7 linked regions of the Coturnix japonica genome follow. Each later gene encodes a partner of the first gene's protein in a complex. Links are inferred from orthologs where the notes say so. Each region holds a gene or a part of one and is shown on either strand. Other genes may lie near its edges.

Region 1 (4,185 bases):
CAAAATCAGAATGATGCAACAGCTCTTGTTGCTCACCTCAGATGTTGCACCAATTCTGGACAGCTCTGAAAAGGAAAGAACACACAGCAAAATCAACATCAAATGCTTCAGTGTAAGTCTTTGTGCAGCACAGCAGCTGTAAAATATCAGGACAGTGAAGTCTGTGAGCATCAGTTTTGATGAGAAGCAACAAAACACTCACAAATACAAGATTAATTTCCCTATTCTTCCCCCAGAAATGAAACTTTCAGAAGCAGCAGAACAAGCAGATATAACATTAGGTTTGGGGGAATGTTCAGTACAATCCATTTTCTCTGCACAAGAAAAAGGGAAGCAAAACTGCAGTTCCAAAAACAAAGGTATTTTTCTTGTATTTCTTAGCAATACGTACCACAGGATTCTCTCCATGGTGAGCCACCTTGACATCACATAGCAGCCCTGTAGGATCTAACTGGACTTCCACATAGAACATGTCTGAAGTGATGTAACATTCGGTGCCATTTGCACTGAGGTGTGATCCAAGGCTTAAATACAAAACAAAGCAAAAATTACTAAGAGATACACACAAGAAACAGTCAAACCAGCAGCAAAATTATGATGTATACAGATAAGTAGGAGATACAAAACTGCTGTGAAACAAAGGAGAAGATGTACCCATTTTGTCTGGCTATGGACTCCAGGCGATCTGTCATGGCAGGCAGAGAAGACACTAGACAAAGAAAGCAAAAATAAGCCTTAGTGATACGACTGAACATCTTTCCAGTAATGATGTATCAGCATTAAAAGCAATCCCAACTACTTACTCACACCCACTCCATACTCAAAAAACAAGAATCGTTTTGCATAGAGAAAAACAAACATTCTCAGTGTGGATTTTCATCCACAAGTGGAATCCATGTATGGGCAATAAGAATAAAAGCAACACAGGCAATTTTGGCTGATAATGACTCACAAGAAATAAGCATGCTTCTATAAGCACCACGAGCACACTGAGCTTTGCAAGCAATAACCTCGCAGGTTCCTCTAATACAGAGTATTTCCATAGTATATCACTGTTAAGCATTTCCTGAGTGCAGGCACAGCACGTACCAACCTTTTAATGCTTTTTGCAAGGTCTCCAAACAGCTCACCAGATGTTGGTGCCCCCCAGAGTTCATCACAAGTCGTTTTTCCTACGTCAGAAAGAAGAAAAACAGTCGTTTTAAAGTTTCACTCCATGAGAGGAAAATTACTGCAATTTTCATTCAGTCGAGTGAGGTTTATTCAGGTAATTAAAGGCAGATTGGATTTCATCCCCAAATTACACCCTCATTGCGATTCCTGTACCAGAATCATATCCATATTTGCAGTGGGTAAAACAGGCAGGTCTGGAATTGATTATTAAGCTTGCTCTTGTGAAAGATCAGACTGCAACAACTTCTTAAATAGCATAAGCTACGAGTTATATGAGAGGAGCAAGAGAAACAAAGAGAGATTAACTTTAACACCACAACACATACAGCAGCTTTTGATGATGCTCTTCCCTGCCTCCCACTCCTTTCTACCCTCACCAAGGTATTTCAAAGCTGCATCTGACTGAGATAACACTGAGTGTTGAGCATCACTGTAAAGGAAACCCCAGCACTTCTCACCATGACTTGACGGACCAGCTTCATGGTTTCAGTCCAAGGTCTGTTTTGGTTGTACTTTGCATGAAGTCTTTCTAAGAGAGCACTCATCTTATTCAGCTTCTCTGCCTCTGTCAGACAAAGCGGAATGAAAACATAGAAACAAAAGAGAACGTGAGCTGATTGCACAGCCCTTCCAAGCCGGGACACACTCAGCCTTTATAAATGTGTGCTGAATCCAATCTATACATTGTGGGGCTCTAAAACTCATTGTAGCACTTTATTAAGTTACATTGTTATGGAAGGCATCTCCCTGATACCAGGTATTTCTGGCTCCAACACAAGTCTATGGCAACATAACTGCCATAGAACATGACCCTACAAGGCCTATAGAATCAGAAGGGTTTATAAACTGATACACACAGATGTCATGGACTTAATGCCAACCCCATCAAATCAAAGCAGAACAAACAACCGAACGGTTCGCTACCACAGGAGCCCATCAGCCTTTATTTCCATCCACCACAGCCCCGCTCTGGAGCTGCTTAATGCCCAGCTTTGAGACCCATTGAGACCCATGGGGACCCCATTGAAGCCCATTCAGACCCATAGAAACCCACTGGGACCCATAGGGATCCATAGAGACCCAAAGTGGGGAGGGGACCCGACGACCCACACATGGTGAGTATGGACCCATAGGGACACATAGAGACCCCATAGAGACCCATAGGGACCCATAGAGATCCCATAGAGACCCATAGGGACCCATAGAGACCCATAGGGACCCATAGAGACCCCATAGGGACCCATAGGGACCCATAGGGACCCATAGAGACCCCATAGAGACCCACTGGGACCCCACGGCCGGGCTCCGCCGTTCCCTGCAGGCCCAACCGCCGTCCCTCGAGCTGTGGAACCCCCCCCATCCCGAGGAGGCCGGGCCTTCCCTCCGCCTCCACACAGCGCAGCCCCGCTAGGCCGCACTCACCCTCAGCGCCTCCCGGCACCGCCTTCATGCCTCAGGGAGGGGAGGGGCGGCCCGCGGCGGAGCCACAGGGCCGGTATCACGTCGATAAACGGGAAGGGATGGGGATAAACCGCGGCCGGGCCGCTCCGCTCCGGCCTCACACGGCGGCGCCCGCCGCCATCCCTCCGGCCGCGGCTCCCGCTTCTCGCGAGAACTTCTGAGTCTCGCGAGAGGTAGGGAGTCATGGTGAGAAGGGGGAGTGATTAGGGGGCGGGGCGTTGCGCTCAAGCCCCGCCCCCTGGATGCTGATTGGTGCTGAGCGGGCGGAAGGGGCGGGGCTTCGTGCGCTCCCCGGGACGGAGTAAAGTTCGTTCTCAGACCTCGCGAGAAGACGGTGCGCGCGCGCGCACTCCCTTCCGCCTTCCCAATTCTCAGCGCTTGAAATCTCGCGGGGGGAGGGCTCAGGCCGAGTCTCGCGAGAAGCAGCAGTTATCTCGCGAGACTTGGCGGGTGCCCCCCTTGGGCCGAGGAGCCGTTTCGCTTTGGGAAGTGAGCGGGGGGCGCTGGGCCGGGCCGGGGCGGCGGGGACCGAACGGGGCCGCACGGTGGGAACCCGGTACTGAGGGTTGGGACAGGGCGGGAGGGAACCGGACACAACGGGACCGGGAGGGATCGTGGGCCCAGCTCCCGCCTTCCCGGGGCTCCCCCCGCGGCGGCGCTGCCCTCCGGGCCTGGGCCCCTCGGATGAGGCGCTGAGGCCCGGTGTCCTTCCCCGCCGCTCCCGGTTCCGTTCCTTTCCCATTCTCCCTCTCCCCGTTGTTCCCTTCCTCCTCGCTCTCTCCGTCCCGCTCCCCATGCAGCAGGAGGTGCCGGGGGGCGGTGAATGGTTCGAATAGAGGGAGGCTGAGGGAGTTGGAAAGTCGAGGAGGATTTGGAGGAGCGCCCCCGCCTCCCCCTGTCCCAGCACAGTGGAGGAGGAGGAATGCCAAACCAAGAGAGACATGGGGGGAAGAAGGATGGGGGCGGCGGGGGGACCTCGCTGCACTCATCGGGCAGCTCCAATAGCAAGGAGAGGCACCGGGTGGCTTCAAGGCATAAGAGGCATAAATCCCGGCACTCCAAGGAGTCACCGTTGGCCGCCCAAGAGACGGCGGCGCCTCTGGGAGCTGTGATCAAACCGTTGGTGGAATACGATGATATCAGTTCGGATTCGGATACGTTCTCGGATGATTTGGCCCTTAAGTTGGACAGGAGGGAGAATGAGGAGAGGAAAGCGGATAGGAGCGAAAGGACGCAGAAACATCGACACCACCAGCACAAACGTATCCGTGAGCTGATGAAGAGCAAACAGGCAGAGAAAGAGAGGAAGTTGGAAAAGAGCCTGGAGGCCTCCAGCAGGTCCGGGTCTACCAAGGACAGGGTATCGGGGTCCTCTAAGAGACTGCTTGAAAGCGAGGAGCACCCGAAGGCCCCGTCCTCAAAGAGCAGCAACAAGGAATCCCGCTCAGCCAAAGCGCACAAGGAAAAGTCCAGGAAGGATCGGGAGCTCAAGTCCAGCCACAAAGAGCGAAGTAAAAGCCATCGGAAAAGGGATGCTCCCAAAAGTTATAA
Region 2 (3,255 bases), on another chromosome or scaffold:
AAACCCCTTTTTCTTTTTGCATTTGTTGGCCTCTACGTGCAAACTAGGAAAATGACTCAAGATCAAAAGGACGTGTGAAAAACAAATGCTTGGCTCCCTGCTACCTTTTGAAGTCACAGCACTGAGAGCTGTACTGAGCAGTTCACAGAGTGCAAGGCAGCTGATAATCGAGCTCAGCTCGTGGTATGAGAATGTGAAATCAAAGTCTGGAAAGTCTAACAATAGCAAAGACTTGTTAATATCCCCCACCAGGTGGGTTTTCTCATTCCTCTCTAGAAGTGGTGCTTTTAACTCCTTGTCTGTGGGGTTTGGAGTTGCAACAGTTTGCTCTGCAAACCAACACCTGCCAATCCTACAAAGTAGTGAGAGTGCACTGAAGTAATATTTAGAAACAACTCTGCCCTTGATAGGGCACGTAGACAGCGGCTCTCTTACCCTTATTCCTTCTTATGAAGGAGGTTACTGCCATCTGCTGAGGAAAAAAGGAAATCAGAGCACAAAAGCCGCATTGCCAGACCAGTGGCCATCTGCAGAAGCGCTGCCAGCCAGCCCGAGGTCCCACGGCAATATGGAAGACACAGATAGTTGTTTTTTTCCTTAAAATCTGTCTTAAACAAAGAAATGGAAGAAAAGCAAGAAGTTCCATCGGTTTGTTGCAGACTTTATGCATCCAGGCTGCATGTGTTCAGCTATAGAAAGGATGCTAACACTTCCCAGGGTGATGCTTTCACTTTGTGATGGAATAACACCCAAATTTCTGTTGCATGGAAGCTCTACATATATTCCCTGCATCATTCAGCAGTTAAAGCATTGCCATCACACCGGCGGCTCCCCACGGTCTGGGCACTGAGCTCACCAGAGTCCAGGAAGCGTCTGAACGAGGGCAGTTCTACGAGTCTATGAAAGCAGTCCTGGAATACCAAATACTAAACACCAATTCATGCAGAAGTTGGTCTCACAGGGAGTCTGATGCCGACAAGAGTCGGGCCGGCCGCTCCCATCTCTGCCATTCGAGGATCTCTGCCATTAGAGGACCCTGCTGGGACCCCCGCTGAGATCCCTGCCGTGCCCCTGGCAGCCGCAATAGGGCGCCATAGCCCAGGCTGTGAGTGGAACGAGCTCCTGACTGGCATTGCGGGCATCCAACCAAAGTCTACGACGCCATTTGAGCTGCGAGCCAATGGAGGGGAGGAGGAAGGAGAGCAGTTGCCGGATGTGAGGTGTTGGTGTCGGTGGTGGCGGTGGTGTTTTCAGCGCGGTGTGCAGGTGAGTGGGGTGTTTTCTTTGGGCCTTGTGTGTAGGACCGGCCCAGCCTTTGTTTCTGTTCAGCATTGCGGCTTTGGGCCCTCCCGGAGCCGTGCTGTAGTGATGGGCCGGGGGGGAGGGGGGTGCTGCTTTAAGGGCTGCCTCTCCCTGCCTGCCGTTGTCTGCCGCTCCCAGCCCTGGGATGCGGGCTTAGCGGATCAGGCCTCTCCTTCCTTCTGTGCCTCCTCGTTGGCAGGTCTGGTTTGAGAAGTGCTTAATGTGCTGTGTATGTCAGTGCAAAGCTGACGTGGATTTATTGGGGAGTTTCCTGCTATTTGCGTGCTGAAGAATCTCCTGTCTGGTTTGTTTTCTTAGCTTCATGCGTGCTGTGGAGTTGTCGCATAAGTTATGTAATGCACGTTTCTTTTCTATCCACTAGGTATTTTAATCCCCAAAGATGGGTGAACCTCAGCAAGTGAGTGCCCTCCCTCCGCCTCCAATGCAGTATATAAAGGAATACACCGATGAAAACATACGCAAAGGTCTGGCCCCAAAGCCACCTCCACCTGTGAAAGACAGTTACATGATGTTTGGTAATCAGTTCCAGTGTGACGATTTAATTATCCGACCTTTGGAAAGCCAGGGTATTGAGCGGCTGCATCCCATGCAGTTTGATCACAAAAAGGAATTGAGGAAACTGAACATGTCTATCTTAGTCAACTTTTTGGATCTCTTGGATATCTTGATAAGGAGTCCGGGGAGTATAAAGCGAGAAGAGAAACTGGAGGACCTGAAACTGCTTTTTGTTCACGTCCATCATCTTATAAACGAGTACCGTCCTCACCAAGCTAGGGAGACCCTGCGAGTCATGATGGAAGTGCAGAAACGTCAGCGTCTGGAAACTGCAGAGCGATTTCAGAAGCATTTAGAGCGAGTTGTGGAGATGATTCAGAACTGCCTGGCGTCCTTGCCTGATGATCTTCCTCATTCAGAGGGGGGACTGGGAGTGAAAACAGAACCAATGGACACTGATGACGGCAACAACTGCATTGGACAGAGTGAAAAACAGAGAGAACGTTCTGGCTGCAAGAGAGATCAGGTGTTAGACAAAGATGCAGCTATGTGCAGCATTATTGATGAAATGACATGAAGGAATCGTGTCTTATGTTAACTTACAATAGAGAGAGGCCAAATGGATTCTGAGGGTACATGCTGTATTTTGTTTGAAGCGTTCACACTGACTTGGGGGGTGGGTGTGAGCTGCTAAGCAGGTGAGGATATTTAATATTTTGTGTGAGTTATATGTGTATTGGTCAAAACATAACTCTGCTTTGTGCAGCGTGGATGCTGTTAGGTTTTTTGTATAACGTTGTTTTGTCACTTGCAGCTTTCTGGGATGTGCTTCATTTTGTAAATGCCGTGTGCTGCTGGAAGCAGGGGGTTTGGCTGACTGAAATGGAAGCTGACAATTCCTGCATTTCAAATAAATGTTAGTTGTTTACACGTTAAATGGGTCTTTTCAGTTATTCTAGATTGAAGATGAAATCAATATGAAGCCTGAGAAATCCATTCCTTTCTAACTTTTTGTAGTAATGTAACAATGTTAAAGAACTTAAGAATTGCTTTATTACACATGTAATGTGGTGTAACTTGTCTGTGCCTGAAGTCTGTCAAATGGAAGCTACATCAGTTGTGTTTAAAGAGAACTGGACTTGGATCAAGCCCATGGCACAAAGAGTGATTTGATAATGGATAAGTGGCTTCGTTACTCAAGCCCTCCTGTCTGTAGCATGTCTGCTTTCCAAACTAGATGTAGCACCTTTAAAAAAAAGAGAGAAAGAAAAGAAACAATCAACTTTGTGGATGAGGGAACTTACTATAACTACTTGTAACTCTCGTTATGCAAATTATAACTTGGATAATTCAGCTGTTTTCAGGCATGCAGATTTATTTAAATGTGCAGGTAGATTTTAACCATTGGGTGGTGGGATTGAGATCGCTGTAGCTAAA
Region 3 (3,500 bases), on another chromosome or scaffold:
AAAGTGTGCCCATAGCCTGGGGCCTGCTGGTGCACATAGCCACTTGGTCTCTGCTGCATCTGTCTGACGGGATCCACCAGGGCAGGATTAGAGCTGGGGTGGGAATTCTGATACGGCTGGCCAGAATACGTAGGAGGCACCATTGTGCCTGACTGGGAAGGGTGTTGCTGAAGCCCTATGTGGGAGACGTAAGGTGTGTAACCCTGGAATAAAACAAAAACAAACCCTTTGTCAGTCACAGAGTAGGGTACAATAATTCGCAGCAAAGGAGATCATCCTCCTGTAAATGCCATCACAAAGACTGTTCATCTAGAATTCAGATTCTGCTGGCCAGAAAACAAGTGAAGCATTAAGAGATTTCAAGATTTAACAGCAGGAATGAAGAGAGTGCCCTGCACTGAAGCCAGATTCCAGTCATACCTGTGGTCACTCAGACTCACCTGGGAGGGCTGTAGTGCCCCATAGGACGGGGTTGGAGCCATCTGGCGTACTGGCTGCTGGCCCATTATGCCTTGGCCCTGCTGGAAGGCAACAGAAGAACCATTTTTCAACATCTCCAAAGGCCAGGAACACTGCTTCTCCCCTCTCAGAAGCTCCCACCAAATCCAACAAGTAGCTTCACTGATTAACCCATTAGGTTGCTCCACAGCATACAGATGCTAGTAACTTTTGCTTCACCTCAACTTGGGTAAATAAGCCACTATCATCCTATCACTCCAACACCAGGATATGCTCCTCTCACTGCCCAACAACTGCAGATGTCCCCAGTGTACCTCACTCACAGACACAGATCCAACAAAGCCAGTGGCAAATACAGAGTTGCCCAGATAAACAGACACGAGGGACCCTTCTCCAGGGCAAAGAGGGTGACAGGATTTGAGAGTTCTGGCTAGACTGGACACCCTTAATAAACAGCTAAGGCTTGCTGTGCTGTGGGGGCTGCCAAGAGCACAGTTCTGACATACCAACTTTGCTTGAAGTTGCTGCCTCAATATCTGTCCCTGGGACACTGGAGGCTGTTGTCTGTACACTGCTGGCTTGTAGGAGGGGTCAATGCCCATCATGCTTCCCATCCCTGAAGGCAGAACCCCACTATAGGGAGGACGACTCTGAACAAGTTTCCCCAGTGGCATGCGCACAGGTCTGTAGGATGTATCCAGGCGAGGGCCACCTGGAAGAGGAACAGGAACAGACTGAATAGTCATGTGTTGTTGTTGAGCCTTGGAGCTTCAGAACAACTGCTCATCAATATGTATGGAAATAGAACAGGCAGGAGGGACAAAAGTGCGTAGGACCATCTCAGACAGAGTTCTTACACGAGGTTCCCACAGAGATGCAACACACACCTCCTTCCTGCACACCTACCTGCTGGAAGAGGCTGATTCTGGGCATAGAGACCCACTGGTGACTGTCCATATGCCAGCCTAGACATAGTGCTTCCTGCTTGGTGATGCAAGAGATCCGTAGGCATGCCAACTCCATATGAAACCCCTCGGCTGGGACCCAACACAAAATCCTGCAAGGAAAAGAAGGGAGTAAAAAAGATCAGTGTGCACTGAGAACTCATGAATGGATCGAGAGCAGGAATAGTTCACAGGAGGAAGCCTGGATTCTTTGAGCTGGAAGCCTCCTTCCCACCCATCAGAAAATAAGGAAATGTTTGCACAACCCCAGGCTAGCAGGAATGGCATTAAAGCTCCAGAAAACCCAGACAAAAATTACATTTCATCTTCACCACTACTTCTCTGCAGCTCCCTCAGAAGGGAGGGCTCAGGGCTAAAATATCAGGGCTGGACACAGAAAATCCATATGTGTTGGACAGTCCATTACCTCAGTTTTGCTGGCAGACTGGTTGCGTTTCTTGGTTTTGCTCTGTTTCTTCTTGCGTTCCTCAGTAGAAGTGGCAGGATTGGAGCTTGTTTTATCAGCCTTGCTTGGTTCCACAGCCTTCTTCTCTGGCTCTAAAGCCACAGGTGTAGGAGGCTCCTCCTCTTCAGGGGGCAGAGGCAATGGCTCCAGGTAGTAACTGCGGGGCTTGGGTTTTAAGTGTGTGTGGTACAGAAGAAGCCTCTGCTGCTCCTCAAATCTAGACACCCTGCGGTCCACCCGGACTGTCCCAAACCATCCCCAGGAGAGGGGAGCTGAGTGCTTTAAGCCCTCAAACAGATCCCAAGGGGAAATCTTCTGCTTCGTAGAGACTTGCAAACCCTTTAAGACAAAAGAAATAAGAACCTCCAAGACCCCTATCTTTTCTCCTCCCACAGTAAAGGACACTTCCATCAGACCCCACTCCACGTATCCCAGGAAAAACGGAACCAAAAACCAACAAAACACAACAACCACAAAGACAGTCAGAGCTGCTCTTCCATGTGGCAATACAGCCATTTCTAAAGCCCTTCATCAACAACTGGCATTCTCCTTCATTCCACCTCTGCCAATCTCCTGCTGCACACTGGTAACACCCGTTAAGTCACATGTCAGGGATTATGGCTCTTTTTCCTTCATACAGCCACAATTACAAAATAAAAGTTGAAATAACTTCTCAGACCGTAGTAGCCTGCATTGCTGAGAATTAACACCCAGCTCTGCCCTTTTCAGACATAGTTATGCGCCAGCTTGCCTGCGTGCAGCCAGCCATTTCAGGCTTGGCAGGCAACAACGAGCTGCATACTGATGCCTCCCAAGCAATGAAGACTCAAGGCATCAGAGGACAAGGCTGCACCTGCCCTAAGGAGCTGTGATGCAGTCAGCAAAGCTCCACGTACCTCCTTCTTGAAGATGGAGTCAAAACCAGCTATTTTATTGCCTTTGGTGTCAATGAGGGATCCCTGAGGTTCGCAGGTGATGACATCCCGGGTCTGCTTGGGTAGTGGCAGCAGCTGTCGCACCTTCTCCAGGCTGTCAGACTGCCGGTCCCCCAGCTCCTTCTGCACAAATGGAGTAGAGAACTCTTCAACAACTCCTCAGAAAAACAAAAAAATACCAAAACCAACATACAAATCCCACCCGTGCTTCTGCTGGTGCCAGCCTCCACCTCTGCATTAGCTGTCATCTTTGCACCATTCAACTCAAGACCCACAGAGCCACCAGGGCAACCCCCACTGCTTTTCTAAACAACAGAACCAGTACTATGTGAGACAGATCTCTGCAGAGCAGGATGGCCACAGCACAGCATGCAGCTCCCTGTACAGGACGTGGTGCCCCTCACCCTGAGTTTCTTGACAAGATTCATGTATGCCCGCTTGTTCTCCTCCATGCTGCCCTGAGAAATGCTGGACATATCAGCAGCCAGGGTGCCGTTGATGAGAACACTCAGCATGTCCAACACAGTGGTGAAGAGCTCACTGTTGGTGAGAGCAGAAAGGTCAAAGTCACAGAAGAATCAAAGTCACTGCCATCACAGTAGCACCAGACACTACTAGGCTGCTAAAAGCAGTGCATAAAGCCAGAAGTACCGAGTGCTCTTCAGACTAGTCTCCCACGCTAATCCTCCCTTTGGT
Region 4 (3,500 bases), on another chromosome or scaffold:
AGTTTTGGAAGAACTGTATTCTGTTGTCTTAGTATCTGAAAGACTGTTAAGACAGAAGTCCAAGTATTCACTACTATGGGGGGTGAAAGGAAAAGGTGTGAAGCAATGCATTCAGAAGCTACCTGAATGAAAGCATGTTCGATGTTTGAAGGCTGAAATGCACTAATCAAATATTGTACTTCTTTGTGGAAATGTGCACACAATTCATAGAATATTAATGGAATAAACATTACTGTGTTAGCAGATTATTAGGCATGGAGGAGATGAAGTACAATAGCATCACCACAGTAGGAATAAAAGCCTGAGCTCACAGGCAACTTACCATGGAATTTGTATAAACCTCCCAGATGATCCAGTAAGGTTTCTAGTGACTTAGACACTGGAAGCAGTTCCAGAAATCTATGGATTACAATGTCAAACACCGGCAGAAATCGCAGGCACACATTTCCAAAATAAATTGGAAGATACTGGGGCTGGATCTGAACTGGGGGATTGACTTGCTCTGCCAAGCCTTCAAAATACAACTTTTCAGGATATTTCTGGAGGGAAAGAAACCAAACAAGCTTAAAAGCTATTTCTTTAAAAGCACCATGTTAAATATTCAGCACCTACACTGCTTTAAAAGACTCTTCATAACCCTCATTACCACTCATAACTGCAATAAGAGGTTATCAGCACAAAGCTTACTGAAGAAAAACTATCTTTTGAGTGAAATCACACAATGGTTATGACTAGAAGATACATATTCAGAAAAAATCCCATAAGTTTCACCATCATTTGAAGGAGCATAAGGGAGCAATAAGTAAACCAAGGCAAAGCTAAAAGCAACTAGTCGCTATGTGTCCCTTGTCAAGTGTTTTAAGAGGAAACCTAGAGGAAATTAACACCACTGAAAGCTTTTGCATCATGTACTAAATCAGAACACCAGAAATAAGACACATGTTACTCCCAGGGAAAGATCTGGAATGTAATCAAATACCTGATGAATATAGCTGAAGCACGTGCACAGTATTTACCTGTGACTGAAACCTCCACATGCCACACTGAGTCCAGTAACTCTATAGCAATGACAGAGCACTTCCCAGATTAATATAACTTGGTCTTCAACTACATATTCACTTTTAGAAAGTTAAGACACTGTACTGCCAGTGCAGAAGCAAATGGGGACCAAAAGGCTCCCGGATCAGAACTGTATCTGCTTAGTTGCACGAGAGTTTAGTTGTGCCTATTTTGATCCAGCATTTATGTATCCTTTGATAGAACGCTCCATCATACATCTCTTTTTAGCCAGCAGAAGCCAATATGTTTACAAAAACATTAAAATCTCATCAATTCTCTTCCCTGGCGTGTCTAGATATTGTATTCTTCTCACACGGGAGATGAAAGAAACTTTAATAATTAGGAGAAAAATGTAGATCTAACTGTTGTACTAGTCATATAAGAACAGAAGGGAATATACCTTCTCCCTGGTGCACAAGAACTCCATCCTAGATGAATCTCAATAAAAACAAAGTTTTAAAATGATTGGATTTAAATGAACAAGGGTTTCTAATCAGCCCTTCAGATGCTCCCATCTTTGGATATTACAGCATTATAATTTGAACACAATCACATAAACACAGCATTGCTTTTCTATATTAACTCAAACAAATTACTACTTAAGTAGCTCTAAAAATCTACAGAACTGTCGTGTAATTTTCAAGAAAAAAAGACTTCTTAGCTGATCTGAACTCTACAGGAAGTATTAGAATACAATGGTTTTATTAACTTCAATACCTTGTGATAACTCATGTGCTTAGTATGCCAGTCATTCTGCAGCCAATGCTCTGGAGAATTCTCTTTCACAAAATCACTCACTCTGTTTCTGAAATCATTAGGTTTGAGTAAGAGTAATTGAATAATGAAGTAACAGACTTGAGCTTCATTTCCTTCATGACTACGCATAGCCTTCAAACAAAAAGAAAACATGGAATTACAGAGTGGATGCTGCTGTCTGCTTAAGAACCGCTAGACAGTAGTGAGCCAGTATAGCTGAACATGACATAGATCTGCACATAAATCCACAGTGAAAATATAGTCTCTCAGCTGTATTTTTGGAATGTAGACAGAACACAGGTAGGCTCCACCACTACTGGAGAAAAGTAATCATCACTTTTTCTACTCTGTAAAGAATAAAATCTCAAAAAATTCCTGGTGCAAATATATTCCCTGAGAGTTCTATTTCTCTCTCCATTGAAAATAGCTTCATTATCATTAATTGGTTAAGGCTGCTTCGAACTTCCAGCCACTCTATCATATTCACACTTGAGTTTGAAGTCCCCATTAAAACTCAAAGAGCTTTATAATTTAAAATCTCATCTTAGTACAATTATGACTGAAAATTTATTTCTATCTGGCTAAGTTCTGCTTTTCTTTAATTTACAAGATAACCTGAAAAGACAGAATACCATTTCTCCTCTATTTTTCTGATGAAACAGGCTGAATTCCAAGCAAAAAGACTATAACTTTAGCAGTCACAGGGCTATCCATTTGTTTCCAAACAATGGCATACTACACTCCTGACTTTTCCAAAAACAGAAATAATTGCACAGCTCTGAGATCAAAGATCCACAGCACAAAAAATAAAGTTCAATAATAATGTTTCAATGGTTGTCTTTAAATAACCACAAAAGGTTTCCCCTGCAGATTCAGGTAACTGTAAGACTGACTTTTTCATTACTTACAGAACTGATCTATTATTTTCCTTATCAAATAGTCAACATTTGAAGCTGATACACTTTAAAAAAAAAAAAAAAAAAAAAAGTTCTCACAAAAGCATCACAGAAAGCAAGGACCAAACTCCAAGCAGGAAAAGCTCTTTTAACACTATACTTACCAAACAAAGTATCAACCTGTCCAGTGTTACAATGTTGTATTTCCACACCATGTCATTGAGAATCTCAATACATTTGTTGAGCTGCTGACCTCCCGCAGAGGTAGAGAATTCATACACCAAGAAATCCGCAAAGGTCCTGACATGTGCCACAAGAGCTCTGGCCCCAATTCTTTCTAGTACTCTATCATAGAAGAAAAAAAAAACCAAAAAAACAAAGCTAGTCAAGAATGTTTAGAAGCAAATCAACAAATGTCACACTCTTTTTAATACATTTTCACCTGGAATATTTTCAATGAATGACTGAGTCAGTACTCTGGCACAGAATACGTGCTTTCATTATGCATTTTTATATGATTTCATAGATAATATGCATATCTAGTAGCCCAATGCAATTTTACTGGGAGCTGGGATTGTTTAGGCTGGAGAACAGGAGGCTCAGGGGAGACTTCATTACAATCTACAACTTCCTGAAGGGAGGATGTGATGAGGGGCTTGGCCTCTTCTGCCAACAAAACAAACAGGACCTGAGGAAATGGCCACAAGTTGTACCAGAAGAGGTTTAGATTAGACATAAGAAGGAACATTTTCTCTCAGAGTGGTCAGGCACTGGAATGGCTGCCCAGGG
Region 5 (3,500 bases), on another chromosome or scaffold:
ATATAAAAATCACTTTTAATGGCAAGCCACAATTTTCTCAAAGCAAACCAAACCAGTAATGAACTACTTGTTTTGAGTGGACAGTGTTACCCTTCTGCAGCTTGGTTTAACATTTGATTCCTTACACTGAGAAATCTTAGTACATTTGCTCCAGCGTCAGAGAAAATGATGCAGTTTTAAAGAATAAACTTCCAAAATGCTTGACACAAACAAGCTATTTATTCTTCAAGTTCTTTGTCAAAGATGGTATTAAAAAAATTCTGTCCATTTCATGAACACAGGAAAGATCCCAGGATGTCTTGAGTCAAAGTGGTCCGTAAAGAAGTTCTTTGGAATGTCTTAAGATTGGCTATAACTAGAGTTCTGGCTACCGTTTGGACCCTGTTCTCCTTCACTGTTTGAAAGGAAAAGAAACACGTCTCAGAACAGCAGCACCGTACTGCATTTCTGTCTTTTGCAAACAGAAAACATTTATTCATGTATTTGAACAGCGATTTCAAAATATTCCAATGCAACTCCATTCTGAATTCACTCCTGAAATCAGCGTTTCAGAGTTCCCATAACAGAAGCTCACACATAGGAATTTGCACGTGCAGATTCCACGTAATGATATTTAATCACAGCAATTAAACATGACATCAAACAGGCACTGTTCTAAAGAATCGTGCCCTTTCATCAGGCCTCACACTGCTCCTTTTAAACTGTATTGATCAGATTCTAACTACATTACTGCTTTCCATGAAAGAGCAAATATTCTCCTCCTGAACAGTCTGACTGGGTACTTAGAGGAAAGCCGGCAGTGCAGTCATACACTATGCCTCAAACTTAACATAGCACATAAGATAATACTTTATTTTTTCCCATATGAAAGGTGCAGTAAATAATGGAGGTATGGTACCTGTTTGGAGGTGGTTTTGGTTTAGGCATTTTGCTAAGGATAGTAGCCATCTCTTTTCTCTCATCAAAGTTCTTCCACTGCTCATACAGCTTCAGAATAACCCTGATTATTTCTAAAATCTGATTTGAAAGAAAGTACATTTTAGGTCAATCACAATAGTGACTTTTATATTTATATCATCATTTGCAGTGTACAGTTAATTATCCATTTCTCAAACTCAAATTAAGAAGCATAATTCTCATGATAGAAACAGAGCTGTCTCCTATATAATCCGGTCTGGCAATCAACCATTTTTGCAAAGAGTTTTTTGGCTTAACTGTTGAACTGAAGCCTGACAGAACCAATATCTCTCTCTCCCACTCCATTTCCCTCCCACTTTATCAACCATTTCTCCTCCCAAAGTCGAACGGCTGCTTATATTTGATGCTACTGGGAAAACAAGGACACTTGGCAACGTGTTTGTTGCTAAATGATTACGGATTACAAATGAAGTAACTGATTATTGTCTGTGTTCTATACCAGCCATGGGGGCACAGTACTAAAAACAAATGAAACCAACCAACGGTGCCCTGAATTCTTTACTTCCAAAATAATAATAAAAATAAAATTAAAAAAATCAAGAGCTAGGAAGTGTCTCAATACTTTATAATAAGAACTGTTGAATTTTCAAACTCTATTTCCAGAAGTATAAATATTCTCTACCAGTTTGGAGGCTACATTAATTTCCTGTTAATTTTCTAGTGCAATATTCTACACAGAAGGTGGATAAATACTGAATAACCCCACTTGCAAGGGACCCACATGGATCAGGTCCAACTCCAGCTTCACAAAGTGCCACCCAGAAATCAAACCATGTTTGCTTCATTATTTGTTTCGCCACTTACTAAATTAATGAAGTAAACTTCTTTCCAGTTTATGGACTTTGATCAAATGCTAGAACAATATACATCCTTGAACCAGAAACTATGTTTGGCTATGAAGTTCCATAGTGTTAAAGGTTAAAAATAATAATAATAATCTAAAAATTAATTTTTTTTAAAAAAAATCAAGCTTAGATGTAATCACTGGTAATGGGAACAGAAACGTTTAAACATTCAAACACATTCAACACCAAGCCTATGATAACCTTACATGTCAAACATATGTTGTTTATTAGAATACTGTTCAATCTTGAGCAATAAATATTGGGAATTCTTTTTTCTTCTAGCAAAAAAATTAAATAAACAAACAAGATACTGGTTTTCTATTTCAGTCTGTAAAATGGCAACAGCAGCAATGCTCTGCCCTTATGTCTTGTCTTTCAGTGCAGAGTGATACCCAAATGACCTGACATTTCCTATCTCCTACCTAATTTCAATAGTCCGTAATGCGATTGCTGAATGAAGTTCAAATCAGTATCACACACATGCAAAACAGGTTCAAACCACTGCTAACATTTCTAGTCAGTCCATAGCAGAGGGCAGGAGGTAAAAAGAGAGTACCTTTTCCATATCAACAGATAGCTCAGCAAACCATTGCCTCGCATCCTTCTGCTGGACAACACAGGCCACGTGTAGGCAAGCTGCAAAGATCAGGTGATAAGAGTGAATCATTGTTGAGTATCTCTTAATACACTTAGAAATACTCTCCAAGTCAGGTACTTTTCTATGGTGTTTGGAGTTCCTCAGTTCCTCTGCAAAAAATCTCAGCGAGTTTTCAAAGAAGAAATCTGGGGATTAATTACCTGATTTTTCTTCAAGGCTTTCTAAGTTGCAAGGTTATACTGTCAGTACTGTATGAAATATAAACTGGAGAAGCTTAAGAGAGCGTACTAAGGAAAACTTGTTGATGGGACAAAGTACAGAAGGCATCTATTTAAAGGTGACAGTGACGTTACTTGTGTTACTTACCTAGAGCTATCATGAAAGGAGGGTACAGCAGACAAAGATCAGTTCTATACGTGTCATTCACTATCCTCCTGTGCAAAACAAAGAGAGCATAACAACTCCTTTAGACTACATGATTCATAAACATTTTGCCAGTTACCCATGTGGTAGAAACAAAGAGTATACAGGGCAAAATAGAGAAAGTGAGATCTCTTCCTCTTTAAAAGTCTATTAAAGACAACCATTGTTTTCCTTGCAATCACTGCAGAAGTCTGTTTGGAAACACTATTATAACATCATCAGTGCCATTCTGCAGAGTGTGTTCTCTTCTACCATAAATTAATTATCCCTGCTCCGCAAATAAGCAAATTGAAGCAAAAGTAAAGGTAGTATTTTTATTGTCTGTATTGGAGAAACAATTAAAGTGTTTAAGGAGTTCTGTTTTACCAGTCTAAGAAACAGAACCATGTACTGCTTTTACTGAAAGCTGACTCTAACAGAAAGATAGCTGTGTCTACACAAAGTCGACATTTAACAGTGTAAAAATGGTGCTATTGGAGCTGTTCTAAAAATAAAAACCAGAGCATTTCAAAGTAGAAACCATTACAGGGTTAAAAACAATAATTTAAGCCAGTGACACGTGTGCATAGGTTAACTAGTATACCCTTTGTATTATTTAGCCTGCTAAGCCATCTCTGAGGCATAACTGTTAAACACTCGCTTTCTTGCTGAAAGGA
Region 6 (3,500 bases), on another chromosome or scaffold:
TCAGAAGAAGACAGAAGAGCTCAAACCAACAGACCTGTAGCACTCCAGTTACTTAGCTTTTACACTTTTCATGCTCCGAACCGAGTGAACAGCTGATAGCTGTGCAAGTGATTTTGCTCCCATCTATTATTAATATTGCTGTTGTCTTTAAATATCATGGAAAAAAACAAAACAACACCAACTAAAAATCCTTAATACATGTCCCTGTAGATTTCCTGCAGTAAAGGGTGCAAATGTGCGTCAGATTCAGTCTTCTTGATTATCTGAACAAGTTGAGCGTGCTCTGTGACAAGTTGCCGGAGGTCAGCCATTTTTTGGAGAAGTTTCGGGAAGAGGAAGGTATCATCAGGATGGTTGGTTTGCAAGTGCAGTTTCAGTACGTGCACAATGCTCTCTTGCATTTTTTCAATGTGTCCTACATTTACAAGACCGGGACGATCTATTCTCAAAACAGAAGAATACATGTCAAAAATTTTGAAATATTCTTTATTGCAGGCTACTTTATAGGTTCTATATTGTAGGCTGGTGTAAATTTACATTGTACACTTGAGGGCAATGACAATAACCTCATCAACTTCAACAGGTTTTGGAACAGGCTTAAAGTAAATCTTTAAAGAAAATGTAGTCTTAGCCCTCAGGTCAAAGCATTTTTAATGCCCACAGTTATTTGAGGAAAGAGTTCATAGTACTAAATACAACCCGTATTACTGAAGGAAAAAAAAAAAACAAACAACCAACAAACACAAAACCCACCCCTTCCACTCACAAAACTAAAGGAAGCATTCAGCCTAGGAATCCAGTTCTACACTCTGCATGACATGATAAAAGAATTCAAATGGTAGGGATAAGTGTGAAAAAACACATGGCTATTTCTAGAGCCTTCGTCAAGTTTGGGAGATCAAAATAAGATAAAAAATATATCTCGCTTTCACCCTTGGTTCCCATACATATTGCCATAGCATAAGTTATTGACAGGACGTAGAGAAGTACCTATTAAGGACGTTTCACGCTTTCCAGCATAGGGTCCCACTTGCAGCTACTTAGAGACCTATACTTAAACTCTCTGGATCAAACTTCTCCGTGAGAACTATGAGGTCACAAGCTAAATTTGTTTCTTGCAAACTTCAGCTATTTCCAAGGAGAAGAAAAGAGAAGAATACCATTTTGCCTGCAAAGAACTCTCTTGACTTTTGAAAACTCAAAATATCAATATGGTGCGCAAAAGTAACTCAAGATTTGATGGGAACTTACTATCTAAACTAGCTCTTGAAGCACTTGAAAGTCAACAGACAGAATTCACTGTTAAGGATGCTGCCACAGGTAGTGAAAAGTCTTATGAGTTTGGCAGCATATAAAAAAAGCAGGCAACCATGCCATTGGAGCTGTCTTGGTCTTATTTCTCTTTTTCAAAATGCTTATGAATAGTTTTGTATTTAACCTTCAGTATGAATGTCCTTTCTGTAGGAAGGAATGGATAACATTTGTGTTCTTTCACTCACAAACACTGAGCATAAAAAAAACAAAGCCACGCTCCCAGGTGCTATAAAATTATTTTTAAGGCACCATAAATTATTTTTTGGAATTAGCTAATTAAGTTGGGTTTTGAAAATAAGTTGCAGTACTAAAATCAAAAGGCAGGACATGCATCAACAGCACTGCATTTGTGCAGAACTCATTACATGATCCAATCAGCAAGTCAAAGCTGAGCAAAGCTATAGTCTACCTCTGTCTCCATTTCTTCATTACAAGCTGCTTTTCTGTCCATTTTGTAAATGTAAATACTGCTCCTTTAAACATAAAAAATACTAATCCCCCAAACCTCAAACAAAAACACACCAACATTCTTTACATTCCACTTTTAAAAATACAGAGTAATTAGAACCCTCTTCAGCTTTAGAATTATTGCCTCGAAGAATAAATATGTAGCGCTTACCTCCACAGCAAATGATGGCAGCGACAAAAAGTGATATATCACTGTCATCCAGCTCCAGTGCATTGAATTTCACAGCAAACTCAAACTTGGGCTCCATTATATCACAGAATGGCTTTCTCAGACTTTTTAGGAACTCTCGGGTTATAAAACCGTTTCCATAGGCTACCAGCATCCCATCTTTGTTCATTACAGATGCTAACATGGCAAAGATGGCTTCATAAACTCCATATTTCAATAGCGTCACTTGATCATTCAAGTCAAGATTGGAGAAGCCAGGGATAGATTTAGCAAATTCAGTCAGTTCTGTGACAGTCTCTACAGATGTACACTGGCAGCAGTGGAAGATTCGAACTTCGGCTTCCTTATTCTGAATTCCATTGGCAACCAATTTTGCCACCAGCGTCTTCTCTGCCATGCACAAGGTATCCATATCATGTATAACAAACGGCTACGGAGAAAACAGTATTAATTCATCAATAAAATAAAAGCTATTAGTCACTGTCTTGCTAAAGAACTGAATTTGGACAAACCTTTTAATTTTCATAATAATCAGTTTTTAAGCTATCAATAAACCTTGAGTTCTTTCATATATCTGCATAGAGAGAACCATGTATTACAAAACTATGAACTGCAGTGTTTACAAGCAGGTCTGCTCTTCAAACAACAAGGTAAAAAACAGAAGGTAAATAGGAATGACATATCTTCAATCTACTTTTACACAGAATTGTAGAATCACAGAACCCTTAGAGTTGGAATGGACCTCTGAAGGCCATCTAGTCCAACAAGTCACAAAAACACGACCTGTTTATTACTCTTATGTTCATTACCAGATTTTCATAACTATGTCACAGCTGTTCTTCCATAGAAATTTTGCTCAACTCGCCAGCTAAATCATCTCTAAAACCAGAATCCTATTAGGATGTCAGACGACACTAAACTTCAGTCTTGATCACATTCTTTTCCGTAAATAAAACCCCATTCATTTAAAAAAGATATACATTACAATCTGATGAGGTATTGCCAAGGTCTTAGGAGCCAAATATAGAAATGACACCTCATCATCATGAAAAATGCTTGTTTATGCTGCAATGAGTTACAGTAATGTCAAGAATTAGGATCTCCTGAAATCAAATATTGATGCACTGTTCAGAAATAGGTAAATTATTAATGTGTTTGGCTACGCTAGACTATAATACACCAAATTCCATAGTTTAGAAGATAGATTGCTTACAATTTTCATAACAGCCTTTTTTTTTAATTTTAACTGAAATTAGGATTTTTATTTTACTGCTGATTTTATCTTCTATATCACATATAGAGGATACCTCTTCATTGTCAAACATTGATTTCCTTGCCATATTCCATCACTTTTAGGAAAACTCTGCTCATTGTCAAAACAGCAGGAATTTCACTACAATCTCAGATGCTGTGCAACTGCTAAGTAACTATTTCACAATACCTACTAATTAGTCATGAACAAAATACTGTAAGTAAAATATCATAGAGAACATTCACTATTTTTTTCAAGACCTTGGATGAATTATCAATGAAAATTAAACTGTTTAGC
Region 7 (4,148 bases), on another chromosome or scaffold:
CAGTGAGGGTGAGGGAGCACTGGGACAGGCTGCACAGGGGGGTGGTGGAGTCTCCTTCTCTGAAGATATTCAAGGTTCACCTGGACGCTGAGCTGAGTGACCTGCTGTAGGGAACCTGCTTTGGCAGGGGTTGGACTCGATGTTCTCTGGAGGTCCCTTCCAACCCCTACGATGCTGTGATTCCGTGATTTCATAGCCGAGTTCCACACGTCGGGTATCTCCCAGGTCCCTTTACACCAGTCCCACCACATCGGTGTGCGAAGCTCCTCCGGACACTTGGAGGCCCTACGAGCCGGGCCAAGCTCTCGCTGTGAGCGGGACCCTGCGGGGCAGTCCGTGCGTTCCCGCTCTCGGATCCAGTTCGCGGACTTGGCAGGTGCTGCGAGACACCGCCGGCTGGAAGGGGCGGCACAGCGACCGCACAGCGGCCGCCCCGAGGCCGCCCCCCGCCCGCAGCGCGCTCCTCCCGCCCGGAGCCCTCAGGGCGGCGCCCAGCAACTTTCCCCCGCCCGGGGTCGATGGCCCCGCTCCGCTGCCGGCCGCAGCTCCCAGCTCCCGGCACAGCGCCCCCAGCGCAGCGCCCCCAGCGGCGCGGAGGATCTTTGCGGCGGAGGAGGGAGGGGCCGGGGGGAGCCCCAGCGCCGTGCCCCCGCCCTCCGCCGCGAGTCACGTGGGGAGGCGCCGACCAATGGCGAAGCGAGCTGCGGCTGGCGGCCGCCATTGCTGTCAGAGTGGAGAGAGGCAGAGGCGAGTGTGTGAGGAGGAGCGGGTGAGCGGGGCCGCCGTGCGGGCAGCGCCAGGCGGAGGGGGGCGAGGACGGGCACGGACAGCGCTCCCACTCCGGGCCCGGGCCGCCGCCCGCCTCCCGCAGCACCGGGAGACCCGCACGGAGCGTAAACAAGGCGGCGGCGGCGGCAGCAGGAGGAGGAGGAGGAAAACACCATCCACCCACCGCCAGCGGCGGCAGCAGCGAGGGGCGGCCGGGCGGGGCGGGGAGGGACACGGGCTCCGCACAGCGCCCCCCGCCCGCCGTCGCCGCCACTGCCCGCCGCCCTCCCCCGCCCCGCAGGGGCCGCCGCCGGACCGCGGGAGGAGCCCCGAGCCCCGCCGCGGCCGGGGGGGCCGGCGCTGGACGCGGAAGAAGGGCCCCGGGCCCCCCCACCCCTCTCCTCCTCCTCCTCCTCCTCCTCTACCTCCTCCGCGGTGCTGAGGCGGCCTGGAGGCCCGCGGGAGGGCTGCCCGCCGCCGCCGCCGCCTGCTGAGCGGCCCCCGCCGGAGCGGGCCCCCGCCGGAGCGGGCCCCCGCCGGAGCCGCCTGAGCGCCGCCCCCCCGCCCGCCGGCACAGCAGCGCTCCCGGGGCAGCGGGCAGCGCCCGGCAGCGCCCGCAGCCTCCCCCCGCCGCCGGGCCCCGCTCCTCAGACATGCCCCGCGCTGGGGCTCGCCGAGGATCATGACTGCAGCGGCCAACTGGGTGGCGAACGGGGCCAGCCTGGAGGATTGCCACTCCAATCTCTTCTCGCTGGTGAGTGCCCGAGGAGGTGAGGGGTTGGGAAGTGGGGGTTGTGGGGAGGGCGGGCCGGCACGGCGGCTCGCACCGGGCGCTGCGGGTTTGGCGCCGGGTGCGGCTGCCGGGGGCTTTATAGCCCGGGCCGTGGGGCTGCTCCTCCGCTGGCCCCTCCCCCGGCGCGGCGCCCTCGGCCGTGTCTCTCCGTGTCTCTCCGTGTCTCCCCGTGTCTCCGCTCGGTGCCCCCGGGCCGGGGTTGCTCTATTGTCGCTGTGACAGCAGCATTAGGGCGGCAGCGGGCGGGCACGGGGCGCTGCGCGGGTCTCGGGCCGCTGTCAGATCCTGGTACGGCCCCGCCTGGCACAGTGCCTGCCCCGGGACACCATGGGTGCAGAAATAATCATTTATTCCATCCCTGGGGTGAAACAACCGAAGATGTTGTCTGCCGGGTAGCACTGATGCTGTATTTCTCCGTCGTTGGTAATGGACAACTTTGTACTTGGATTGATTGTTTGGTTTAATGGTGCAGGAATTATGTTATTGGCTGTTTCCACGCAGAAGCAGCGTCCCTTGGAAGCCGGTTTACCAGCAGGCTGTGCACCTGCTGCCCACAGCCCCTGTTTCTGGCTGGGCATGGCCGTGCTGGGGGGGCTGGCAGCCAGGTGGGGTTGGGGGCTTGATGTGTGTGTGGGAATGCACGGTGCGGGGTGGGGATGGAGGGGGGGGCGTTGGGCCCTTCCCCTCTGTGAGCGCTGGATGTGGCTGGTGGTGGTGGGGTCTCATTTCCAGCAGAAAGGAGGGGAGTGCTGTTGGTTGTCTTGCAAGAAGGAAGGGAAAGAAGAAAATGGACTGGAAATGTGAATGATGTTTTTGTTGAACGTTTTTCTTTTCATTGCTGTGTGTCATTGTTATGCCTCCGTCTGCTGGCTTCTCTGTTATTTTGTTGCTCTTATTTGTTACTTTGTTCATACCTATGGAGAATGTGGAGCAGGAGCCCTCAGCGCTCAGCTACTGGGAAAGGAGTCCCGGCCTCCTTCTGTGGGAATGAATGCAAGTCTAATTTTGGCTTTTTCATGAACTTGTTCCATCACCTGGCCTTGTGCATGGGCTTTCCCTTGGCGGTGCTCTCTGAGCCGTAACTGCATGTAGGAAGCAGTGCTGTGTGTGCAGAGCTGTGGGAGCTGTTGTGGGGACTTTGAATGTACTGCTCATACATGTGAAGGAAGAATGGTGAGCATGAGGGAGACGGCTGTATGGATGGACAGAGGAACGGAGTGCTCTCTGCTTTGTGTACGGAGCCGTGAGGTCCCCATTTATTCATGGAAAAGTGATTATTTTTGAGGTGTGTAACTTTACATACTTGCAAACTGCAGGTCTGCCTTTGGTTAATAGAAATAATGGTTGGCATGCAATTGGCATCCGTCATGATCTGAAGTTACTACATAGTGACTGCAGCGTGGTCTGTCTGCTTTGTGTTTCACCCTGCTGTGCTGGGGAAATGGGAGCTTTTCAAATAGGGCTGTGATCCCGTCAAAATGCAGGTGGGCTTCATAGTAATTATGATTTTAATTTGTGATCTCTTTGTTTCTCAGGTAATTTTGTGGGAGGCATCCATACCTGTAATGTGGTACTGTGCATCCAGCTGTAATGATTTTATTATTTTCAGGGTCTACTTGCAAACAGAAGAATATCCATTATGTATATACTTGTATGTATGTGTGTGTATGTATGTATACACACATATATGTATATATACATATACATATATATATACAAATGTGCTAACTATTGGTGTGATTTGTTTTCAGGTAAATTGATATTTGTTATGGTTTATGTATCAGTGAAGGATACTGAAGAAGGAAATAGGGACTGGGAGTGCGTGGCCAGCAGAACTGACCTTACAGCCTCAAATTGTCCTACTCATTTAAAAACTTATGAAGTGTTAAAGGTGCAGTAGTTGGGGTTACTAATGGGAGAAAGTTTTGCTCATCACTTACTCTTTCAGTGCAACAGAACAGAAACATGCACAAATGAATCAGCTGTTGATGGGAACTCATTCACTTTGTAGGAGTGAGGTGAATTACTGAGCTGTATGAAACCCATTCTGCCATTAGACACTGAGTATTACAGTTCATTGTAAATCTCCAGCTTCGTTTTGGGCCTGAGTCAAAAAGAAATGTTCTTGCCTGGAGAATTACAGTTCAGAAATAGTACTTCTGTTTGTTCGTGTTGAAGCAATGTTTTTCCCCACAAACATTCCCTTTGTCTAAGGAGGAACAGCAGCTCCTGTGTCGGAGGAGCTGGGCTGTGCTGTACGACTGAGGTTGGCTTTGGGGTGTTTGTCACCCCATCATTTCCAGCTTGTTTGTCTGTCAGCTGTAGATGGACTTTAGAGAGATGGTGGCACTGCTGTTTGTTTGAGTCTTCATGGGGAAATATTCCTGGAAGTATCTTACTGTCATGAAAAATATTTTCTAAAGCTTTCTAGTAACTGTTTACGTTTTGTCAGTGGTGCCCGGAATGTGTAGAGGCTCTTAGTTTAAAATATGCCACCTGAGGGGAAGGCATAGTCTTAAGGTTATAAAATGAGCTCTGATCGTGCACATATCAGAAGTGATGTCCGGCACCAGCAGTGGTGTTCAAG

Evidence for each region.
Region 2: MED1 (region 1) and MED7 share a complex: the UniProt entries of both Homo sapiens proteins name them as parts of the mediator complex. The link is inferred for Coturnix japonica from reciprocal best matches to the Homo sapiens genes MED1 and MED7.
Region 3: MED1 (region 1) and MED12 share a complex: the UniProt entries of both Homo sapiens proteins name them as parts of the mediator complex. The link is inferred for Coturnix japonica from reciprocal best matches to the Homo sapiens genes MED1 and MED12.
Region 4: MED1 (region 1) and MED23 share a complex: the UniProt entries of both Homo sapiens proteins name them as parts of the mediator complex. The link is inferred for Coturnix japonica from reciprocal best matches to the Homo sapiens genes MED1 and MED23.
Region 5: MED1 (region 1) and CCNC share a complex: the UniProt entries of both Homo sapiens proteins name them as parts of the mediator complex. The link is inferred for Coturnix japonica from reciprocal best matches to the Homo sapiens genes MED1 and CCNC.
Region 6: the proteins of MED1 (region 1) and PPARA are in contact, whole or in part, in a crystal structure (PDB 9IWM), measured with the Homo sapiens proteins. The link is inferred for Coturnix japonica from reciprocal best matches to the Homo sapiens genes MED1 and PPARA. Residues at the interface, in NP_004765.2 of Homo sapiens: Asn638, Thr639, Asn641, His642, Pro643, Met644, Leu645, Met646, Leu648, Leu649, Lys650; in NP_001001928.1 of Homo sapiens: Val284, Thr285, Thr288, Glu289, Lys292, Phe297, Leu302, Asn303, Gln305, Val306, Thr307, Leu309, Lys310, Pro458, Leu459, Glu462, Ile463.
Region 7: MED1 (region 1) and MED13L share a complex: the UniProt entries of both Homo sapiens proteins name them as parts of the mediator complex. The link is inferred for Coturnix japonica from reciprocal best matches to the Homo sapiens genes MED1 and MED13L.

What each region holds. Positions count from the first base shown.
Region 1 is NC_029542.1:3,842,918-3,847,102, forward strand, and holds the start of MED1 (mediator of RNA polymerase II transcription subunit 1), read right to left. Parts: upstream 2,801-4,185; 5' UTR 2,624-2,800; coding exon 2,596-2,623; intron 1,739-2,595; coding exon 1,632-1,738; intron 1,173-1,631; coding exon 1,094-1,172; intron 710-1,093; coding exon 655-709; intron 525-654; coding exon 392-524; intron 66-391; coding exon 37-65; intron 1-36. Other genes in the region: CDK12 (cyclin-dependent kinase 12), read left to right, coding at 3,557-4,185. UniProt on the Homo sapiens protein: Component of the Mediator complex, a coactivator involved in the regulated transcription of nearly all RNA polymerase II-dependent genes.
Region 2 is NC_029528.1:6,561,722-6,564,976, reverse strand, and holds MED7 (mediator of RNA polymerase II transcription subunit 7), read left to right. Parts: upstream 1-1,160; 5' UTR 1,161-1,266; intron 1,267-1,473; exon of another isoform or gene 1,474-1,501; intron 1,502-1,684; 5' UTR 1,685-1,702; coding exon 1,703-2,395; 3' UTR 2,396-2,755; downstream 2,756-3,255. UniProt on the Homo sapiens protein: Component of the Mediator complex, a coactivator involved in the regulated transcription of nearly all RNA polymerase II-dependent genes.
Region 3 is NC_029519.1:2,301,195-2,304,694, forward strand, and holds part of MED12 (mediator of RNA polymerase II transcription subunit 12), read right to left. Parts: intron 3,345-3,500; coding exon 3,209-3,344; intron 2,928-3,208; coding exon 2,766-2,927; intron 2,209-2,765; coding exon 1,831-2,208; intron 1,517-1,830; coding exon 1,366-1,516; intron 1,172-1,365; coding exon 966-1,171; intron 522-965; coding exon 441-521; intron 204-440; coding exon 1-203. UniProt on the Homo sapiens protein: Component of the Mediator complex, a coactivator involved in the regulated transcription of nearly all RNA polymerase II-dependent genes.
Region 4 is NC_029518.1:51,943,080-51,946,579, reverse strand, and holds part of MED23 (mediator of RNA polymerase II transcription subunit 23), read right to left. Parts: intron 3,057-3,500; coding exon 2,876-3,056; intron 1,948-2,875; coding exon 1,777-1,947; intron 540-1,776; coding exon 323-539; intron 1-322. UniProt on the Homo sapiens protein: Required for transcriptional activation subsequent to the assembly of the pre-initiation complex. Component of the Mediator complex, a coactivator involved in the regulated transcription of nearly all RNA polymerase II-dependent genes.
Region 5 is NC_029518.1:64,955,311-64,958,810, reverse strand, and holds part of CCNC (cyclin-C), read right to left. Parts: intron 2,856-3,500; coding exon 2,788-2,855; intron 2,460-2,787; coding exon 2,380-2,459; intron 1,018-2,379; coding exon 899-1,017; intron 395-898; coding exon 340-394; 3' UTR 1-339. UniProt on the Homo sapiens protein: Component of the Mediator complex, a coactivator involved in regulated gene transcription of nearly all RNA polymerase II-dependent genes.
Region 6 is NC_029516.1:65,574,271-65,577,770, reverse strand, and holds part of PPARA (peroxisome proliferator-activated receptor alpha), read right to left. Parts: intron 2,382-3,500; coding exon 1,934-2,381; intron 440-1,933; coding exon 192-439; 3' UTR 1-191. UniProt on the Homo sapiens protein: Ligand-activated transcription factor. Key regulator of lipid metabolism. Activated by the endogenous ligand 1-palmitoyl-2-oleoyl-sn-glycerol-3-phosphocholine (16:0/18:1-GPC). Activated by oleylethanolamide, a naturally occurring lipid that regulates satiety.
Region 7 is NC_029530.1:10,337,043-10,341,190, forward strand, and holds the start of MED13L (mediator of RNA polymerase II transcription subunit 13-like), read left to right. Parts: upstream 1-1,348; 5' UTR 1,349-1,450; coding exon 1,451-1,522; intron 1,523-4,148. UniProt on the Homo sapiens protein: Component of the Mediator complex, a coactivator involved in the regulated transcription of nearly all RNA polymerase II-dependent genes.